3 linked regions of the Elephas maximus indicus genome follow. The protein of the gene in region 2 purifies or fractionates together with the protein of the main gene of each other region. This does not show direct contact. Links are inferred from orthologs where the notes say so. Each region holds a gene or a part of one and is shown on either strand. Other genes may lie near its edges.

What was found.
Region 1: the proteins of POGZ (region 2) and CHAMP1 purify together in Homo sapiens (affinity purification with mass spectrometry; 4 studies listed by BioGRID and IntAct, with this or other methods). This does not show direct contact. The link is inferred for Elephas maximus indicus from reciprocal best matches to the Homo sapiens genes POGZ and CHAMP1.
Region 3: the proteins of POGZ (region 2) and ZNF428 purify together in Homo sapiens (affinity purification with mass spectrometry; 3 studies listed by BioGRID and IntAct, counting the BioPlex papers as one, with this or other methods). This does not show direct contact. The link is inferred for Elephas maximus indicus from reciprocal best matches to the Homo sapiens genes POGZ and ZNF428.

The regions. Positions count from the first base shown.
Region 1 is NC_064835.1:75,770,027-75,777,917, reverse strand, and holds the start of CHAMP1 (chromosome alignment-maintaining phosphoprotein 1), read right to left. Parts: upstream 3,049-7,891; 5' UTR 2,866-3,048; intron 1-2,865. UniProt on the Homo sapiens protein: Required for proper alignment of chromosomes at metaphase and their accurate segregation during mitosis. Involved in the maintenance of spindle microtubules attachment to the kinetochore during sister chromatid biorientation.
Region 2 is NC_064821.1:185,499,439-185,506,523, forward strand, and holds the start of POGZ (pogo transposable element with ZNF domain), read right to left. Parts: upstream 3,048-7,085; 5' UTR 1-3,047. UniProt on the Homo sapiens protein: Plays a role in mitotic cell cycle progression and is involved in kinetochore assembly and mitotic sister chromatid cohesion.
Region 3 is NC_064829.1:106,885,766-106,893,074, reverse strand, and holds the start of ZNF428 (zinc finger protein 428), read right to left. Parts: upstream 3,085-7,309; 5' UTR 2,698-3,084; intron 1-2,697.

The sequences.
Region 1 (7,891 bases), on a different chromosome or scaffold from region 2:
ATCTTCCCTAATGTAATTCCCTGACTGTTCAAGCTTCCATACTTCTGCATAAGCTATTTCTTCTCCTTTACGTTCCCCATCGTGCCACTCAACCACTAGACAAATCTGTACTCATCCTTCAGGCAGTATTTCTCCTCAAGTATTTCCCAGTTTCCCACTGCCTCTCAGTCATCCTTGGATCCCCCTTCTGTATACACACCTCCATTACAGCAACTATCCTATGGCACTATAACCTGATCCACGTTAGGTGGTGAGCTCTTGGGAGGGCAGGGACTACCTATTTATTCACCTCTGTAACCGCTGCACATCCCTGGCACACAGTAGGTGTTCAGGAAATATCTGTTCACTCTAAGACTGGGAACCCAATCAGAGATTGACGGGATTTTAAAACTGGAAGCGGCTTAAGCTACCATCTAGCCTTGGAATCATGGGGCTTTAGGGCAGGAGAAAGCCTCAGGGATGATCTACTGAAATGCAAGTCTAAACATTAAATAACTTACCCAAAAAAACCCCAATGCTGTCGAGTTGATTCCAACTCATAGCAGCCCTACAGCACAGAGTAGGATTTCCAAGGAGCAGCTGGTAGATTCAAACTGCTGACGTTTTGGTTAGCAGCTGTAGCATTTAACCACTGTGCCACCAGGGCTCCAGACTTACCCAAAGAAAGGTAAATAACCAGCATCTGATGAAGGACTAGAATAAAGTTTTGCCATCTACCCCCATTCTGTCTAGTTATATCACGATCAAACTAATACTGTGGAATTTGGCAAGATCTTAAAAAGCCAGTAGATGGACCAAAACCAACAAGGTGAAAAGTATCAAGCATTTAAAGTCCAAATATCAACTGCAGAAATACAGGACCACAGAGAACAGCACCCCATATTCTGCACTGGACAGGGTATCCCACTGGATCATTGCGTCCAGCTCTGGGTAGGAAGAACACTTTAAAAGAGCCTCTAACAAACTGGGGAATACTCAAAGAAAGCAACCAGGATGCCAGGTAGTCTTATGTCATTTATGAGAACTAGACATATTTACCTTCAAAGGGGTAAGAATTATTGAGAATACGTAAGCTGTCCTAGAAACAGCAAGTGGAAGCCAGCAGAAAAAGCGATTTCAGCTCAAACATAAAAGAGTTTTACAAATTACTCCATCATGGACTAGAAGAAGTTGCCTTATCAGGTAGAAGCTCCCCTTAACTGGAAGTCGATGATCACTATAGGACTGAAAGGATCCTCAGAGGACCTGAGTCCAACCTCTTCATTTTACAATTGAGAAAATCGAAGCTGAGGGAAAGAAGCAACTGGTCAAAGATCACACAATTAGGTCAGAGGAAGCAACAGGAGATCCTGGTTTCCTTATTGGTTCTATATTAACACACCACACTATCTTTTCACAGCAGCTGATCACCCACAGGGATGCTGTTCAGTGAGTTCAGGCATAGGTTAGATATCTACAGTTCCTCCCAGTTTAAAGATTCTAGCAATTTTTCCCCCTAAATCTCAGAGCTCTTAAAACTTGACAGAAACTATTAAAAAAAAAAAAAACTCTACATTGTTCAGACTGATTAAAAAAAAATTTTTTTAATTTCTCCATTCTACTTTTCTCCTCTACAGAACAATTTGTCTCTAAAAAACACAAATTTGAAATCAGTGGCGCTTTGTCATTTCGTCATCCAGTATTTTTCAACGCAGTACTATGCCATGTGGTATCACACCTATTTCTCTTTTCTCATCCAATTTCCTTCTTGAAATCTATCATCATCAATCATCTTTTAAAATGCATTTTAACATACATCTTTTTAAAATGAAATTTCAATATATGGAGTATATCTCGAGCTAATTGGGTACTATGAATCTCTATACACACTACAGATAGTGTTATTATTGTCTTTTATTATCAGTATCTTTATAAATCCTATCTTTGAACATCTGCAAGTGGAGTGAATATCTGAGAATATCAGCAAATTACATGCTCTGATACTGCATATAGCACACATTACTAACAACAACAAAAGCCCGTTGCTGTAGAGTGGATTCCGACTCTTAGCGACCCTACAGGACAGAGTAGAACTGCCCCACAGGGTTTCCAAGGAGTGCCTGGTGGATCTGAACTGCCAACCTTGTGGTCAGCAGCCGTAGCACTTAACCACTACGCCACCGGGGTTTCCATTACTAACAATAAGATGTGCAAAAAGCAAAACAGGCGGTCCTAAGTGCGGTTGTGGTAACCCGAAGACGTCGGAAGTGGGGACTACCTGCAGTATTGTTCTTCATCCCTAGCCGATTTTTAAACAATAACAGAAGCTGAGACAGACTAGAGGCAGAGAAGATGGCACCGAGAGCTAAAACAGAAAGAATGCCTTGCGTCCTGTGCCAGGCCCCAACTTCCCAACGGGTTTTAAGAAAATGTTTCCAGTCTCCGATGCAACTGACACCCCCAGCATTCCAGAAGTGCTCTGCAAAACGCCCGGCTTTCCAGAAGCTCGACCTTGCCAGAACCCAAGGCCAGGTCCCTGCACTCCTCGGTGACGTCCCTAAGCAGTGCCTGCTCGGACCGAAGACAGGCCGGTCCCCGGGCCCCAAAGCTGGGTCGGCATCACCGGCTTCTCCCAGACGGGCCCCTGGCTGGGCTCCGGACGGGCGGGGGCACGACCGCGCGAGCTGACCCTCCCCCGGGCCCTCTCCTCAGGAAAAGCCGACAGCCTCCCCTGGCAGACTCGGCCCGGGGCGGCGGCGGCGGCCGGGACCCTCGGGCCTAGCGCGGGCCCGCCGGAACGACGCCTCCAGCCGCGCGTCCCCGCCCCCAGGGCCGCCCCTCCCCCGCCTCCCGCCTCTCCTCAGCGGTCCCGCTCACGTTTCTCACCGGTCGGGCCCGCGGGCGGCGACCACGTAGGGCGAAGGGAGACAAGGGGGGATGGACGGCGGGGAGGGCCGGCTTCTCCGGGCCGGGGTCTCGCGGCGGCCCAGGCTCCTCCGCGGGGCCCCTGCGGCGCGCGGCTGCTTTCCCGAATGGCGACGCGAGACGCAGAGAGCCGGGCTTCGGGCGCACGAGCGTGCGCGCGGCCGCGGGTGTAGGGGCGGAGCCGGGGGCGGGGCGGGGCTGGCGGGTGAGGGGGAAGCGAGTTTACCGCCGCCCCGCGCGGGCCAATCAGCTGGCGGATCGCGTGGCGCCCCAATGCCGAGAGAGAGCCGGCGTGTGCAGCATCTGCCGCCGCGCAACCGGAAGTGCCTGCGCGTCCGCTCGCCCCGCCCCCGCCTTCCGCGCGCGGGGCCCCATCTCCGGGAGAGGGCCGGGCGCGCGCAGGATGAGGGGGGCGGGGCCTGGGCGGCTGTGCGGAGCGGGTTGCGGGGTTGGCAGGGCTGGGCCGGGGTGCTGGCGGCGGCCGTTCGCCTCGGCGTCCCCCACCCGGATTCGAGGGACCCGAGCCTGGTCTTGGGTGCAGCCACAGACCGCTCCCGCGAGCCTTTGTTTCTTTGTTTTGTTTCTGTCTTTTGTCTGATCTTTAAAATTAATAGGCCCATTGACCCTGAAGTGCCTTCGTACCAAGGCAATGGGGTTGCAATAGGAAACTCCGTGTTTTAAGTTCTTTGCATATGCTTGGGTGGATCCTGTTAATTACAAGAAGACAAAAATCCTTAGGCCAGCCTTCTTGCCCTACTTTGTCTAAGCCAAGTTTACCTTTGAATAAACAAGGATTTATTTAATCTCTGTGTCGGTATCTCCAGTCTTAAGATCCTACAGTCTTCAATTTTACGGTGATTTTTTATTTCGAATAATCAAATCACTGGAAGTGTTTTAGGGAATTTTCTGACTTTCGGTTTTTTTTTTTTTAGCAAAATGATTCATTAAATCTGATCTGATATGATAACTTTGTTTAAAAAAAAGAAAGGAAAAAAGAAAAACTTTCCACGTAAACCAAACCAAACCCAGTGCTGTCGAGTTGATTCTGACTCATAGTGACCCTAAGGGACAGGGTAGAACCGCCCCATAGAGTTTCCAAGGAGCGCCTGGTGGATTTGAACTGCGACCCTTCTGTTAACAGCTATAGCACTTAACCTCTAAGCCGCCAGGGTTTCCAGCTTTCTCCATAAAGTTTTTAAAATTGTAACTCATTTTGTCCCTCCGGACTCAGACTGCCCAAATGAAGGCCGCCTCCATGGGGCGACATGGAGCGAACTTGCCCAAGGACACTATAAGCTTTTTGCGGGAGGGATTGCGTGTCGCTAGTTTTGCTTACTTTCTCATTTCCTGGCACAGATAAGTAGATGCTCAACATTTTTGGGATGATCAACTAATAAGTGGATGTCAAACCCCGTTCTCCTAGGCTCACTTCTGTAATAAACCCCTCTCATGAAAAAGCTCTTTGTAAAAAAGAAAAAGTTGAACGTTCTACTAGAAATGTGGCCCAAAGACACAGATAATTTACAAAAAAAGAAACATGAATGTCCAATAAGCAAGTAAAACAAAAGTCTTCAGCCTTGTTAATAAAAATGCAATTTTTAAAAAAAGCTTTGCAAACTAAATGTTAAATGTAGACATGAGAGGTTCTTTTCTCTGAACATCAAGTTTTTTACCTGTTAAGAATTAGTGAGATTGTGGTCTTTAATGTGAAGTTCTTTTGTGAAATTCAGTATGTGCAAAGATGGTGTGCTGTTCGTCTTCTCTTAAGTCTGTATTAAGAAAGTTCCTAATGATTATAATATGAATGTTGCCGTTAGATCAGCATTACTTAAATAACTTGCAACCCTCTATTATTGTTGTTGCTGTTACTCCTAAAGCCATTTCCTGGAAGGTATTTTCCTTTGACACTCACATCACATAATTTCTATTTAAATAACTGGTTAGAGACCAAAAACTGGTAAACAAGATACCAGTTTATTATTTATTCAGCTGGCAAAGATCAGCTGTCTCTAGGATGACTTTTCAATGAAATGTCAATTTGTACAAGAGCACTGTCTTTTTGGTGTTTCATGCTTTTTCCCTGCAAAAGGAAGTCCTCTTAGGTCAGTACGTGGTTGCAGAGTGTGTGACCACCTCAGTAGGTACCTCTTCAGCAGAGCAGAGCAGGGTCTCTCAATCACCTGAGCCCAAGGAGCGCTGGGTTCCCTTTCTTCGAGAAGCTTCTTTGGAGCCTTTGAAGATGCTGCTATGAATATTACTTTCAGAAACAAGGTTCATTGCACCTGCAGGCCTAAATTGGAAGAGTTGCTTTACTTGGTTCTTTCCTGAAGCGTTTGAATGTGTTGATTATCCCAAAGACCTATCTAAGCCAACCTCTACCATAAGACAACTCCTGGAAGCCAAAACTTAGATTGTGACAGGGCAAAAACTTCGCATCATTTTTATTGATGTTTTCTCTGCCAGTTAAACAATAACAACAAAAGACAAAAAAAATTCTCCGCTGTTATTTAGAACTGAAATTATATAAGCAAAGCAGCAGTTACAGAATACATAAATAGTTCAAGATGAACAATGCAAATAGGCTCACAATTATTGAACTCTTTGTCTTTTTTACAATCAGAATATTACCTTAAACTTGAAAGTAATCAAAGAAAGAGACAATGCTCTCAAAATCATGTACTAAAACTAGGCCTTTATAGATTTTCAAACAAACCTGTATTTAAGGCTCTTGTTTAGCATATAATTAACAACCTAGTTGAATGTTACAGCAACCTACCTTAAGATTCTAAGGGCCCAACTCAGGGAGTGTGTGAAGGCAGGTGAACTATACTGCCACCAGAAGTGACAGCCTGATACTCTTTTGGGAGGAGGAGCCCAAAATATAAACACAGGTCAAATTTTGTCATTTTCTTAGCATGTTAAAGAAAAACAATGCCACACCTCTGCGCATACTTGAAGCCTACATAGAATGAAATGGCCAAAGTCAGTCCCCATTGTCAAATGAATCAGCCAAAATCACACTTACTTTCTGTGGAGAAGAGCCAGACTTAGTTTTTCAATATAGATTGTAGCGTTATTAGTATATGTTTCAAGGAATATCATAAAAACTGAGAAATAAATTAAGAAAGATTTCCTGTAAAATAGGTTTTAAAATGCTTGCTGAAAGTGAAGGGGACTCGAAGCACTAACTGATGAAGATCAAAGACTACAGCCTTCAGTATGGATTACACTTCAACTTAAAACATAAATCCTCATATCCGGACGAATAAGCAGTATCATGATAAATGGAGAAAATATTGAAGCTGTCAAGGATTTCACTTTACTTGGATCCAGAATTAACGCCTATGGAAGCAGCAGTCAAGAAATCAAATGATGTATTGCACTGGGCAAATCTGCTACAAAAGACTTCTTGAACGTATTAAAAAGCAAAGATGTCACTTTGAGAAGTAAGGTGTATCTGACCTAAGCCATGGTATTTTCAGTTGCCTTATATGCATGTGAATATTGGACAATGAATAAGGAAGAAAAAGAAGAATTGATGCCTTTGAATTATGGTGTTGACAAAGAATATTGAATGTACCATGGACTGCCAGAAGAACAAACCAATCTATCTTAGAAGTGCGGTCAGAATGCTCCTTAGAAGCAAGGATGGCGAGACTTCAACTCATGTATTTTGGATATGTTATGAGGAGGGACCATCCCTAGAGAAGGACATCATGCTTGGGACAGTAGAGGGTCAGCAAAGAAGAGAAAGACCCTCAACAAGATGGATTGACAGAGTGGCTGCAACAATGCGCTCAAGCATAGCAATGATTGTGAGGATGACACAGGACCGGGCAGTGTACACAGGGTTGCTTTGAGTTGGAACTGACTCCAGGGCACCTAACAACAACATAATTAACATATCTATTTTATAAATACTAAAAACAAAACAAATTACTCTGCTGTTGCTAGTTGCCGACGAGTGCATTCTGACTCATTGTGACCCCATGTGTGCAGAGTAGAACTGCTCTATACAGTTTTCAAGGCTGTGACCTTTCTGAAGCCTGTCTTCTGAGGTGCCCCTGAGAAGGTTTGAACCTCTAGTCTTTTGGCTACTAATCCAGTGCTTAACCGTTTATAACACCCAGGGACTCCAAATTAGTTTCTATTTCTCTCTAATTTATAATAACGCAGAATAATGTGTAGCTAAAATGGTAAGTTAGTTATTAAATGAGTATAAGGAAAAGGGTATTCTTTCCATGTGTGAGTGTATCAAGCTCTAGTATTGGGTTTCCCAAAAAAAAAAAAGTTGCTGTTGAGTCGATTCCAACTCACAGCGACCCTATAGGACAGAGTAGAACTGCCCCATAGGGTTTCCAAGGAGCACCTGGTGGATTTGAACTGCCTATCTTTTGGCTAGCAGCCATAGCTCTTAGCCTCTACAACACCAGGGTTTCCGTTGGGTTTCCAATAATGTCAAAGTATAATTTTCAGAAAGTTAAGAACATGACTGTCACACAAATATAAAGTGAACAGTTATCAAAGATTTATTTATCTCATTAATAAGGGAATCAAGAGGAAGCTAAAGCTAGGTCAAAGAGAATTCCTAAGACGGAGTATATCTAATCACTAGAAGAAGGAACACTGGAATCAGATTGCTAGGTTAGATAAAAAAAGTGGTTAACATTCTACAGTGAAATAAAACTGTAACCTTTAGGGTAATCTTTTCTATCTGATAGAAGTCATTCGCATCTCTGCTGGACAAAAATCTACAAGACATGTAACTTCATGGTGTGAAAGCCCACATCGTTAAGAAATAATAAGTCAAACTCCCAATCAATCCTTAGGTGAGCCTGTTGGGCATGACATAAAAAGGCCATGCAATCATTCATTTGCCTTATTTCCATGCTTTGGACAATTTTTCCTACCAAAAACCAAAATAACCCTTTGCTGTGGAGTCGATTTCAACTCATAGTGACCCTACAGAACAGAGTAGAACTGCCCC
Region 2 (7,085 bases):
TGCTTCAGGATCTAGTTTTTGACAGTGGATTCTTAAATACGACACAGAAAGCACAATGACAAAAGAAAAAATAAACTGGGCTTCATCAAAATTAAAAACTTTTGGGCATCAAAGGAATTTATCAACAAAGAGACAACCTACAGAATGGGAGAAAATATTTGGAAACCATATATCCGATAATATACAAATAACTAGAACTCAACAACGAAAAGGCAAATCGAATTGAGAAATGGCAAGGTATTTGAATAGACATTTCACCAAAGAAGACATACAAATGGCCAACAAGCCCATAAAAAGATGCTCAACATTATTAATCATTGAAGAACAGCTGCCTTCAAGTCAATCCTGACTCATGGTGACACCATGTGTGTCAAAGTAGAACTGTGCTCCATACGGTTTCCCATGCATGATTTTTCAGAAGCAGATCACTAGACCTTTCTTGTGGGGCACCTCTATGGGGACATCGCCAACCTTTCCGTTTGCACCACCCAGGGACTCCCATTAGTCATTAACCCAATGCTGTCAAGTCGATTTTGACTCACAGCAATTCTATAGGACAGAGCAGAACTGCCACATAGGGATTCTGAAGCTATAATCTTCACGGAAGTAGACTGCCACATCTTCTTCCTGTGGAGTGGCTGGAGGGTAGACCTTTTGGTTAGCAGCCGAACGCTCCAACCGCTGCACCACCAGGGCTCCTTCCATTAGTCATTAGGGAAATGCAAATCAAAACTACAATGAGATACCACTTCATACCCACTAGGATGGCTATTATCAGAAAAACAGAAATATCCAGTGTGGTGAGGATGTGGAGAAACTGGAATCCTCATTCACTATTGGTGGGGCTGTAGAACGGTCCAGCCACTGTGGAAAACAGCATGAACGGTCTTAAAAAGTTACACATAGAATCTCCATACGATGCAGCAATTCCACACCTATATATACAGCCACGGAAACCCTGGTGGCATAGCGGTTAAGTGCTTTGGCTGCTAACCAAAGGGTTGGCAGTTCGAATCTGCCAGGCGCTCCCTGGAAACTCTGTGGGGCAGTTCTACTCTGTCCTATAGGGTCGCAATGAGTTGGAATCGACTCGATGGCACTGGGTGATTTCTGGGATATACAGCCAAAAGATTTGTAAAGCAGGGAATCAAAAACAGATACTTGTACACCAATGTTCACTGAAGCATTACTCACAATAGCCGAAAGGTGGCAACAACCCAAGTGTTCATCAACAGAGGGAATGAATAAATAAAATGTGGTATACACATACAATGGAATATTATTGGGCCATAAAGAAAAATGCAGTTCTGACACATGCTAAGACATGGATGAACCTTGAAAACATTATGCTGAGCAAAACAAGTCAGACACAAAAGGCCAAATATTGTATGATTTCACTTACATGAAATATCTAGAACAGGCAAATGCATAAAGACCAAAGTTTATCAGTCGTTACCAGGGGCAGGTGGGAGGAGAAAATGGGAGGTACTGCTTAAAGAATATTGAGTTTTCTGTTAACGGTGATGAAAAATGTGGAGAAAGTATTAATGGTTGCACAACGTGGTCAATGTAATCCATGTCACTGAATTGTACATGCAAAAATGGCTGAACTGAAGAACAAATGGTTGAATTGGCCAATGTTTTGTTACATGTATTTCACAACAGAAACTTTAAAAATTTTTTTAAATAAAAGCAACCAAATATTAGTTACGTGCTCTTTATTAAAAGAGCAACTAAAGCATCAGTAAATTCCCCATTTTATAGTCTCTCTCCCAAAAACATTGCCTATCATACAAAGTTTTTCTCTACTGACAGTTGTACGCTAAGTTCCATGTCTACTCGCTCAATTTAACTGTTAAGTCCTAGCAATAGGTTAATCTCTCTCCCTTCTCTCCTCCCCTTAGTTACATGTAAGATATATATTCTTGTGGATATGGCTTACCATCACAAACCAGAATATCAACGAATCTATCAAATCTTACGACAGACAGCTTGATAATATGACAGAGGCACCAAACTAGGGTTTTTAATTTTATATCAGGAATTTCTACCTTCAACGAAAATTAATTAAAAAGGGCAAATACGGAGAATAAAAATGGAAACACACTGTTGAAATTTATTTTACTGTTTGATATGCTAGGCACTGTAGAGCACTTCACACATTCCTCATCTCAGTAAATTCTCCTAACAACAGTATGCCTTAAGTGCTCTATTTTACAGATGAGATCAAAACTGAGGTTTAGCAGATTCAGTAACTTGCCCAAGACTGTAGTTAGCTACTGTCGAGTAAACTCAACTTATGGCAACCGCATGCACAACAGAACAAAATGCTGCCCGATCCTGTGCCATTCCCATGATCAGTTGTGGACTGGACTTGTTGTAATCCACAGGGTTTTCACTAGCTGATTTTCAGATGTAGACTGCCAGGCCTTTCTTCCTAGTTTGTCTTAGTCTGAAAGCTCCACTGAAACCTGTTCAGCATCACAGCAATACACAATCCTCCACTGACAGACGGGTGGTGGCTGAGCATGGGTGTACAGGCCAGAATCAAATCCGGGTCTCCTGCCCTAAGGAGAGACTCCTACCACCGAACCACTACTGCCCCCGCCCTCCCCACCACCCTGGGTTAGAATCCCAACCAGGATTCAAACCAAGTTTTCTCACCCTAGAGCCTACACTTTTCCCCAAGTCACTGCCTCTTCCAGTATTAACTCCAAGTAACATCTGTAAAATCTTCAGAAATTCCTAAATGGAGGCAGATTTGGGTGATCTAAAAAACAGAAACATAAAACAGGCCCAAAAGTTACCCCTTATATCGGCGATTCTAAAATGTTTTGGTGTCAGGACCACTCTACACTCTTAAAATTACTGAGGACCCCAGTGAGCTTTTATTTTTTGGGATTATATTTTCCAATATTTACCATACTAAAAAAAAAATTTTAATACCAATTCATTCAAAACGAATAAACCTATTACACGTTACCATAAAAAACATTTTCATTAAAAATTACTATTTTCAAAAAAAATTAGTAAGAAAAATAACATTGTTTTACACTTTCGCAGATCACCTCTGTTTATAGCTCAACAGAAGGCAGTTGGATTCTCGCATCTCCTTCCGCATTCAGTCTGCCGCCATATGTAGTCTTGGTTAAGTACAAAAAAATCTTGCCTCATACAAATTTGTAGTAGGAAAAAGCATTATTTTAATAATCTGTTCATATAGCTGTGGACATTCTTTAATAGGAAAACTCAACAAATGGTAGCTTAAGGTATACACTGCACCATCTGAAACCTTATCAATCAACCTTTCATACCGTTACATTAAAATCTACCAGTCCATCTTGCCGTTTTAAATGATCTTTTTTTTTTTTTAACCCACGTGCGATTTTATAGCATTATGCACTGGTCATCTGGGAAACAGACTGAGTTATGTTAATCTTGATCTTTCAAATGTTGGCATATTTCATTACACAATAGTTGAAAAAAAAAATCACAGTCCCTAATCACTGATACTACCATTAAATTCTTTTAAGCACTGGGAAGCTGTCAAAATTCAAGCTGTCAAGTTTTTTAAAATTCCACTTTTCACTGGAATTTTATCATTGGTTAGCAAATACTGTCAACTGTTTTTCTAAAGTGACATGCTGCTCACTTCATTCATTTTCCAGCAAATAATCAAGTCTGAAAAACTAGTTTGTCAATTGTCCTTTCAAATAAAAATGCTGTTCCATGAAACAAGCAGCTGGTTCAGCTCACAACTCAATCTCACAAGTGCTTTTCCTCTGCAATTGTTCGTTGGTAAGCAGCGTAAGTGCTTTATACGTACCTTCCGTTTCATGACAGATCCTTAAAAAGACTGCACTCAGGGGTTGAGAATTAATAAAATCAATAATGCTTACTGTTTCATAAAGAACATTCTCAAGTCCAGTAGAGTCTGGTGCCACTGCCTTGCTTTGTGCTACAGCATCACCAGTACTTTTACCCAACACTGTTTTTGGACCATCAGCGCAAATGTGAACGAAAAACATAAATAAATAAACTATTTTGAAAAGTTTTGACTTCCTGGCTTCCCTGAAATGGTCTGGGATCCCCAGGGGTGAGCAGACCACCTTTTGAAAACTGCTTTTCCTAGGTTATACACTGGTTCAAGGAAAAGGTTGAAACTCTTGCAAGTCCTGTTGATCTCAAGAATCACATTGTTAGTTTCTCAGTTTGGGATACACCACCAACATAGGTCAGGAAAGGGGAGGGAAGCCAAGGGCATAGATTGCCATTTCATTCTGTTTTAACTGTATTTTGAGCAACTTTATACTAGACCAATAATTCTCTATGTGGCAGGTACCTTAAGCAGAGTCATCTCAGGGGCTGCAGGTTAAAAAGGCAGGAAAAATGACACTCCGGCTCCATTCCACCCAAATAGTCTTTGGAAATGAAGCCCCCAAAATTGCATGTTTAGCAACCTCCCATTTACTTTTTATGCACCCTGAAGAACGGCTCTGCTTAAGCAGTTCGAATTCAGAATCCAATTTCCCAGTCCTAAGCCCATCGAATCACGAAATTGTCATTCACCAAGAAACTGCCCTTCTCGCCCCCACCGTTCCTCCTTCAACTACTTGGGAAAACTCCTTTAAAAGTAAAACCCCATTTCTGTGGGATTTTCAGATGCGGAGAGGAGTGTCTCAAAGAGTGTAGAGGGCCGGGCCTCGGTCTGCCACAAGAAAGCTGTTATGAAATACTACAACTGTATCTCAATTTCAATCTCAAAAAAGAGATTGGGCTAAACGATTTACAAAGCCCTTTTCAGCTCTACCTTTTTTGAGCTAAGAACGCCCGAGACAAGCAAGCAAAGAAACTTTTAGCTTCATTAGCGGTCTGAAGAAATCCCGCGACTGGCGGGAGAGGAAAATCAGGACAGCAAGCAAAAAAGATGGAAAGCAGGTGGATAACGACGCCAGCCCTTTTCAGTCGGTGCTAACAATCCAGAGAAAATAGTCCCTGAGTTAAACATGGCGCCCACGGCGGCAGGATATAATTATCAGAATATAACGATTCTCCGCCCCATCTCATTTTATAAATCACGGCGCCATCCCTAAAGACATTTTGAGTCCGAGGGAGGGGACTCTGTAAACTAACTGGAACGTACTAAGGGTTGGGATGTACTATTAGACAGGAGTAGTCATTGCATAACACACGGGTTCGTCTCAGCAATCGCTCTTTTTCCTCCTCTTTCTCTCCAAGTCCACCCCTCTCCTTCCTCAAGAGAGAGCAGGGGCGGGAAAGGACCAGGAACGAACGCCCACCCCCAAGGGGAACGCTACCCCGCTGCCCCTCCCGCCGCAGCGCCGCCCGCCCTCCTCCCCGGCGCGGCCTCGCCCCCTCGCCAACACCCAGCCGTCTCGCCGCCGCCCGCACCCCCGCCCCTTCCCCAGCGGGCCGCTGCACGCGCCCGCGCCCGCCCACTCCTCCGAGACGCCTCGCGCCCGCCGTGCGTGTGGACGTCGGGATGTGTGTGGAGCCGTGGGACGCGAGTGCGCGCGCGCGCCGGGGGGCGGGGGCGGCCGGCAGGCAGGCAGAAGCCTCCACCACCCGGCCGCTGCACCGCTCCGGGGGCGCACGCACACACAGACATACACGCGCGCGCGCGCCGCACCCCACGCCCGCCACTGCCGCGGGCCGCGCCGCCACTCGCGATGTGCGGGGGCGCGCGCCACCGGCCCCCCCGCCCCCACCCCCTCGCGTACCCGCCCCATCCCCCGCTCATTGTCTCGCCTCGGAACGCCTAACCAAGCGAAAAGATAACGGAACCCCCGGGAGAAAGGGGTGGGGAGAGAGAAGGCTCGCTCGCTCACTCACCTCCCGTGGTCGTCGCCGCCGGTACTCTGACCCGAGGAAGGCGCCGTCGCCTTAAAGGGACCTTGCACCCGACGCCGGGAGAAGGGGGTGGGAGCAGGGGAGGGGACGGGGCTTTGGGGGGAGACGAAGAAGAAGGAACCGTTGAAAACTCGTCTCCCCGCGGGTGTAAAGAAATCTCCCTCGGATTCAAATGAATTGAGGTGGATTTTTTTCCCAAGGGGGGGCGGGGGGCCCCGAGGGAGGGGGTGGGGGGGCCAAGGAATGCGGCTCCGTGTACGGGAGCTGGCGCGGGGGAGAGAAACGCAGACTCCCCCCACCGACCCTCTCGCCCCGCGGAGGGATACGTCTCGTCACTTCCGCCCGCCCCCTTTCGTGGTCTTTCAATTGGTTGGAGCTCCTGCCACGTCATGAGCTCATCCTATCCCATGCCCGGGCTTCTTTTCTAGTCAAGTTTGTCTGGGCCGGCAAATAAATACATAAAGAGGAAAAAAAAATTTTTTTTTTAATGAAAAAAGAATTGGCTTCAAAACCAATATCTAAATTTTTGTGGGAAAAATGGATTTTCCAAAGAAAATATTCCTCAATTAACTTGCCAAGACTTACCAGGGAAATTTGGGGTGTGTCCCCCACATCCCATTCAAGGCCTGTACCCAATCAAGAAGGAACTTTAGGCCAGATGGTGAGGCCCAGTGGCAGCAACAACTGTTATTGGAACACAGACATAGAAATGGCACTCGCTCTTCCTCAAGAGACATTCAGCCAAGTAGCTTTATGACAAATACTGAAGAACTTTTAAAAGCCATTTTTACCCTCAAACCCTCTGAGTTCTGGAGAGTCATGCATGAATGCTTATCCAGATGATTATTATTTTGAAAACTGCTCTGAAACCATTGTGAATAGACTCAGCAGGGATCCCCAATTCTAAGAGCCATAGATGCCACATACATGATTGTGTTCCAGTCAAGGATGAAATAACGTGGCCCCCAAAATTGGTTACGTCCATTCAAGACCATACACCTGTTAATTTTTCCAAAATAAAAACTAACTTCTTTTCCAAGTAGCCAACGAATTTGGTCCTTTATTGCCTCCCTAAAGGATGATAAAATTTTAATATTTTTCCTTGTGTATCTGGGAATGTTGGTGCACTGTAGGCTATACACAAATGTTTGCTCCAAACTAAATGCTAAATCAGCATACTTGGTGCAAGATTGGGGAAATCCAGAACCATATTT
Region 3 (7,309 bases), on a different chromosome or scaffold from region 2:
TGTCCCCAGCTGCCTATAAGGCCTTGGCCGAGCTTACCTGAACCTGATTCTCTGTAGGCCTTAATTTCCTCATCTGGGCAACAGGACTGTCTGTGGTTCTTATTCACATTCCAAATAGTTAGCCACAGGTATTGGCAGAGGCTCCAGTCAGAACCAAGAATGGAGCAGGGCCCTGTGCCAGCCATTAACCCTTAAGTTGCCAAACAGTGGAGCAGTTTAGGGGTGGGAGAGAGCCCATAGTGGCAGCTGAGGTAGGAATTGGTTTAATGGTGATATACCAGTCAGTCAGGAAGTATTTCAGTATTTAAACAAAGGATATGCTGCACCGGTCTGTGAATTGTTAGCCCTAGTTCTATATCAGTTTAAACCTTGGCACGGTGGTGTCTAGGTTTGCATCCTAAATCTGCCACTCTCTAGCTGTGTGGTTTCAAGCAGAGGACTTAACTCCTCTAACCTGTTTCTTTCTCTATAGGAAAGAGGCTGCCAGGGCTCAATTCATGTTTTCCCTATAACCATGTTAAGAAAGATTATTACCCCCTTGGACAGGAATGAACACTGAGGCACAGAAAAAATAAACAACTGGCCCAAGTCACACCATCTGGTAGCTACTGAACTACAATTTGAAACCATGTCATCCTACCTTTCATAAAATGATCTCTCCCTTGAAAAGATTTTTTGAAGATTCAGTAAGTTCATAAATACAAATTGCCAGTATGTGGTAGGTACTCCACGAACAGTAGCTGTTGCTATTCCCACCCCTACCCTCTATAAACTCCAGCCACTCCAGACTTCTCACCTCTCCGTGCACACGCCAAGCCCTTCCACATCTGTTGTTGTCTTGAATGTCCTCCTTTCCCCTTGTCTGCCTGAAGAACTCCCACTTGCCCTTCAAAGCCCGCCTCAAACATAGACAACCTCTGTATTTCTTCCCAACCCAAATACTGCCTCTTTCAAGAAGCCTTCCCTGACTCCTTTCCTTTCTCTCCCTCCTCACCAATACTCCCTACACACACTCACACTTTTGTTTCCCACTATACCCCCTGAAAGGAGCCCTGGTGGTGCAGTGGCTAAGTGCTTGGCTGCTAACCAGAAGGTCGGTGGTTTGAACCCACCAGTCACTCCGCAGGAGAAAGATGTGGCACTCTGTTTCCGTAAAGATTACAGCCTTGGAAACCCTACAGGGCAGCTCTACTCTGTCCTATAGGGTGGCTATGAGTCAGAATTCACTTGATGGCAAAGGGTTTGGTTTGGTTTTGGGTACTCCCTGAAGTGGAGAGCCATGTGGAGCCAGTCAGCAAAAGGGCAGGCAGTCTCAGCTGCCCTCCTTATATGCCAGGGCCTGTGCTGGGTGGTAGGGATACGATGATGAAAAATTCATGGTCCCCTCAAGCCTGGAGGTCAAGTTTAATACTGAGGACTAATGAGAGAAAAATCCAGACTGAAGTCTGGAGCTGAGGCTGGCATCACTGGCAGGGAAGCTTCCTAAAGAAGACACCTGCATCTGGGATTTTAAGGACAGGAGAGTTCTCATGATACTCTACTGCCTGGAAAGCCTCATCTAACCTGGGAATTCTACTTTACTTCATGATAGGGTTGCCAGATTTAGCAAATAAAAACAGAGGGAACCCATTTACGTATGAATTTCAGATGAACAACAAACGATTAAGATAACTATGTCACGTACAATACGTGGGGCATAATTTTCAAAGACATTATTTGTTGTTCATCTGAATTTCAAATTGAACTGACCTATATTTCATCAGGCCACTGTACACAGGCGACAATCAGGACTTCCCATGAGGCTGCCAGGGGGTAATGCCCATCAGTTTGGCCTACCCTTCTTTAAGCCCACATCATACAAGGTCCCTCCTGGAAAATGCCACAACTCTGGGGGAGGCATCTCTTGGTGCCTGAGGCCTCTCCTACAATACCTATGGCGGACAGACTGGCTCTCGCGATCTTAAAAAAAAAAAAACCAAATCCAGTGCCCTCGAGTCGATTCCAACTCATAGCGACCCTACAGGACAGAGTAGAACTGCCCCATAGGGTTTCCAAGGAGCGCCTGGCGGATTTGAACTGCCGACCCTTTGGTTAGCAGCCGTAGCACTTTAACCACTACTCCACCAGGGTTCTTGGGCCCAAATCAATCTATTTTAATACCATAAGCCAAACTGCCCGAGACCCCCAATAACCCGAGTCTACAGCAAACAACTCGCAAGATCCCCCACGTGAACATGAACACAACAGACACTCATCCCCACAAAACTAAGGCAAGGAGGCCAGAGCAAAATCTTATATACAAGACAATAAGGACCAGTTCCCAAAATGCCCTTAAGCAATTCTTCCCAAGATGCCTCAGGCCTATAATGACCACCTTCCAAGATGCTGGGGGGGATGGTGTATTAAAAAAATTCCCCACAAGGAACTAGGATAATCCTTCCCAGAAGGCACCAGGCCAATAACGACTAGCAGACCACAATGCTATACAGGCTTGGGAGCCCTGTTTTCCCAGGATGCCCCAGGGCGGCACCGAGCCACTGAGGGAGAGAAAAAGGAACCTGGGTCTCTCTCTCTAGCCATCACAGCCCAAGACCACTGACGGCTGCTCAGTGACTGGAGCTGTCATTCCCATCATGCAAAGGGGCCATAGCGCCCGCTTCCCGGCATGCCCCGCGCACCCCTGCCCCGGACACTCACCGGCGCTGGTGGCCCCCGCTCGGGCTCGGCGGCGGCGGCGGCTGCACGCCCAGGCTCTGCGCCTGCGCTGCAAATGGGGTAGGAGGGAGCGCAAGGGGCGTGAAGGGCCTAGGGCGCTTGCGCTACGAAATGGACCATTCCTGTCGCACTGTGAGAAGAGGGTCTATCCGGATCTGGCTGTTGGAGAGGCCTGCTCAGGGGGTACCGGGCTTCGCCCTCACTGGCCAGGTTCTCTTGGTATAGTCTGCGGGTAGAGCTAGAAGCGGCAGGAGCGTGTGTGAGGAGCAGGAAGGAGCTTTATAAAAATGTAATGGGGGGGTCGTCAGTTCGATCTGGATCCTGGACCTGAGGCATTCTTATTTGCATAATCCTAGTGCGGGACAATGGAAGGGCTGGAAGGAGTGATTTGCATATTCCCGGGAGAAAGCGTACTCTGGAGCGCAGTGATTAGCATAACGGGGGTGGGGGAATGCTGAGCAATGGCGCATGCGCACAGGGACTGCAGACTAGCGCGGAGGTTGTCCTTGTCTTAGTTGAGGCTCAGTTTGCATCTGGAGAGGGGTCACAAAGGCCAAGTGCCTTACCAGCCCCGCCCCCCGCCCGCAACTAGGATAAATACTAATTTTTTAGGTGTCAGGCCCTGTACCATGGTTTTCTGCTGTGAACAGGACATGCTTGGCCCCTACCCTCTTGGCGCCCCAGGCAAAGGAAGATCAGACAATGATCAGACCTGGGATGGGTGAAGTATAGGAGGCCTTGAGAGCTCTGAGGAAATGCCTGTCCCAATCTGGAGTTCAGGAAAAAGGTTAAAGACGGCAGTGATCTTTAAGCCAAGAATAGCATGCAGCTAGAATGGGAATCTTTCTGGCAGAAGGAAGAGCCAGAGGCAAAAAGTGCATGGTTTGAGGAAGTGAAAGTTTAGTATGCCTGGAACACAGAGTGGGAGAGGGGAAGGGCTCCTACTGGTAAAATTGGTTGCTGTCATCAGTCACGACTCAAAGTGACCCCATGTGTGTCAAAATAGAACTCAGCTCCGTAGGGTTTTCATGGCTATGACCTTTGGAAATAGATTGCCAGGCCTTTCTTTTGAGGCACATTAATATTTGCACCACCCCGAGACTAAGGCTTTTACAGTCAGACTGTATTCTGAGAGTGTAGGAAGTTCTTGCAGCATTCCAGACTTACAGGAAAAAGTGACTCTGTCACATCCCAGCTTAAAACTCTCCAGTGGCATTTCGTTGCACTTCGGAAAAAATCTAGACTCCTTATCATGGCAGTCCATGGGTTACAGATGAGATCCGTTCCTAAGCCTATCTTCTTTAAGTCGGATTTGTACATAAGTCGGAACGGGAACATACGGTTCTTACTTAGTGTCCTGGCGGCACAGTGGTTAAGCGTTCAGCTACCGAAAGGTCAGCAGTTCGAATCCACCAGCCACTCCTTGGAAGCCCTATGGGGCAGTTCTACTCTGTCCTATAAGGTCGCTATGAGTTGAAATCAACTCAACGGCACTGGGTTTAGTGTTTTGGTTTTTTTTAGTCAAATGTTTGTCTTAGTATTGATTTAGAAAATAATATTGGAATCACCATTCCCTGAGCATAGAGAATGTGACCCAGCTGGAGCTGGGTTCACAAGGACTCACAAGGACACATCAAATGGGCCAGGAGGTATAAAGACAATAGCTAGGATAATCTTGGAAAATATCTTTAGAGAACCTTTTACATATGCCAAAAAACAGAACACAAGAGTTTCCATTCTTATCCTTTTCTATTAGCATTTAGTGAATAGAAAATTTGTTGGACCAATAGAAACCCTGGTGGCTTCGAGGTTAAAAGCTACAGCCCCTAACCAAAACGTCAGCAGTTCAAATCCACCAGCCACTCCTTGGAAACCCTACGGGGCAGTTCTATTCTGTCCTGTAGGGCCTCCATGTGTCAGAATCAACTCGATGGCAATGAGTTTGGGGGTTTTTTCCCCCCGGTTTTGACCGTTGTTAATGAAGTCTGTAGCGATGATTATTAAGAAAGATGCTCCAAATATGAGATCACAGTTTCTAGCCTATCTGCGAAAAGGTGAAGCTTTCAGTGGTTTTTGCCTCTTTGTGATGTTAATATATACTGATGACTCTGTACTCTTCCGCGGCTCTAGCAGCATGCTTGTCCGGTTTCCCACTTTTGCTTATTCTGTAATATTCCTCAGACTCAGGCAGACATGAGTCTAGCAGCACGCTTGTCTGTTTTCCCCACTCTTGCTTATTCGGTAATACTCTTTGGACTCGGGCAGACGTGGTTCTGGCAGCATTCTTGTCCGTTTTCCGACTTTTGCCTTTTTGAATATATGCCAACTAAAACTTTTTTTGCTTTACTAAACTTTGTGATTTTTTTTTTGCCCTACAACAGTATATAGCATATGTTTTACCTCTCTATGCATATAAAACACTCAAGAAACACTCTCAAATACACTAAAACATCTTAATAACACAGCACATAATAATGCAGTAATAATAAAAGTAACTACATATGGTACTGGACTGAAGAGAGATCTGTGTGTATGTGTGTAGGTATAAAGTTAAAAAAAAAAACTGAAAAACAGTATACAGTACTGTAAAAAAAAATTGTAAAGAAACAGGTCTTAAAACAGTTTAGATAGAAAAAAGGTCATGATTAAAGGTTAACACACTCTCGTTCCATTGATATCTTGGACGATGGAGGAAAAGATGATGGAGAGGTGGCTACTATTGAGATGAAGGGCCTGGTGCTGGAGAGTCAGGGTTTGATTGTGCTGCTGGAGCTGAGCGGTTTACTACTGGAGTCAATTTCTTGAAGTAGGCATCAAGACAGGTTTGTATAGAGTGTTTCTTTTTCTTGTCATAAATGGCCTTGTAGCAGCTAAGGCCCTCATTAACTGTACGGTAAACTTTGGTGAACCTTTCTGTATTAGGGTCTTGCTCCTCTAACTTTGCCATCCCTGCTTCAATGAGACGAAAGGCTTCAGCTAACTCTTACGTCAAAAATTTTTTCATTTCTGAAGTTTTTAGGTCCTGGTCTTCTTTAAATGCTATCATCTTGTTTACATTAAATATTTGGTCTGGCAAATAACCTTCATCCTCAATAATGTTTTCCATCTTTTCAGGAAGGTCACTCACAGCACTTATATCTGCACTCGCTGCTTCACCTTGCACTTTGATATTATGTAAATTTGCCCTTCCTTTGAAACGATTGAACCAACCCCTACTCGCAAGAAATTCTTCTTCACAATCGCCTTCACTTGCTGCACGTGTAGCTTTTAAATCACTGAAAAGACTACGAGCCTTTTCTTGCACTAAAGTAAGGCTAATAGGCATATTACGTTGATTTTGATCCTCTAACCAAATTATCAATAGCCTTTCCATTTCAATAATTAAACCGCTGTGTTGCTTAGTGATAATTGTTGCTTTCATCGGGGCACAGCCTTTCACGTATTCCATTATTCTCACTGTATTCTTTATAATTGTTCCAACTGTTGACCGACGGTAGCCTAACGCTTTTCCAATGACCGATGGCATTTCTCCCCTTTCTGATCGCTTTATTATTTCCATTTTATTTTCAATCGTGATCGTTCTCCTTTTCCTTGAATCACCAGCACTAGCATTGGATTTACGCTTTGGAGGCATGGTTACAAGGGTAAATGAGGGGAAAATGTAAGCCAAAATTACACACTCGACACAGTGTTAACAGCAACGTGGTCCAGCGTAAAATGGCAGACGGGTTCTTCTTCCTCAAGTTGACAAACCGCTGACGCTGCAAAACGTTTTCCCGAGCACCACAAAGTAGTGCGTGTGTTGCTTGTTATGAACCATTGTACAGGCAGTCCCCGGGTTACAAACAAGATCCGTTCCTAAGTGAGGCTTTAAGAATTTGTAGGTAAATCAGAACAGGTGCACACAGTTCTTATTTAGCCTTACTTGAATGGAAGAAAAGGCTCAAAACCTTTTCAATGATTTAAAAGCTGCACCTGCAGCAAGTGAAGGTGATTGTGATGAAGAATTTGTTGGGAGTAGGGCTTGGTTCAATGATTTCAAAGTGAGGGCAAATTTACATAACATTAAAGAGCAAAAAAAAAAAAAAAATTAACCCGGGGGAGTGCCTGTATTTAACTTAAATTTTAATACTTTATGTTGGAAACCCTGGTGGCGTAGTGGCTTAGAGCTACGGCTGCTCAGCAGTTCAAATCCACCAGGCGCTTCTTGGAAACCCTCTGGGGCAGTTCTACTCTGTTCTATAGGGTCACTATGAGTCGGAATCGACTTAATGGCAACGGGTAGGCTTATATGGTAGTTAGTTCTGAAGTACGAGTCGTCCAAGTCAGACGTTCTTAACCCGGGGCCTTGGCCTGGCCAAGCTTATCTTTCTATCCTCATCCACTTCTCTCCTATTTATCCATTCCACTCCTGTCTAGCTCCACTTCACCTCAGACACAATCTCTTTACCATCTCAGGCCTTTGCTCTTGCTGTTCCCTCTACCAGAAAGTGCTTTTCCTTCTGATTTTCCAACAGTTGCCCTTGTGCTCACCATTTGTATCTTGGCACAGATGCCAATCTGAGAGACTTTCCCTGATCTTTATAAAACAGCA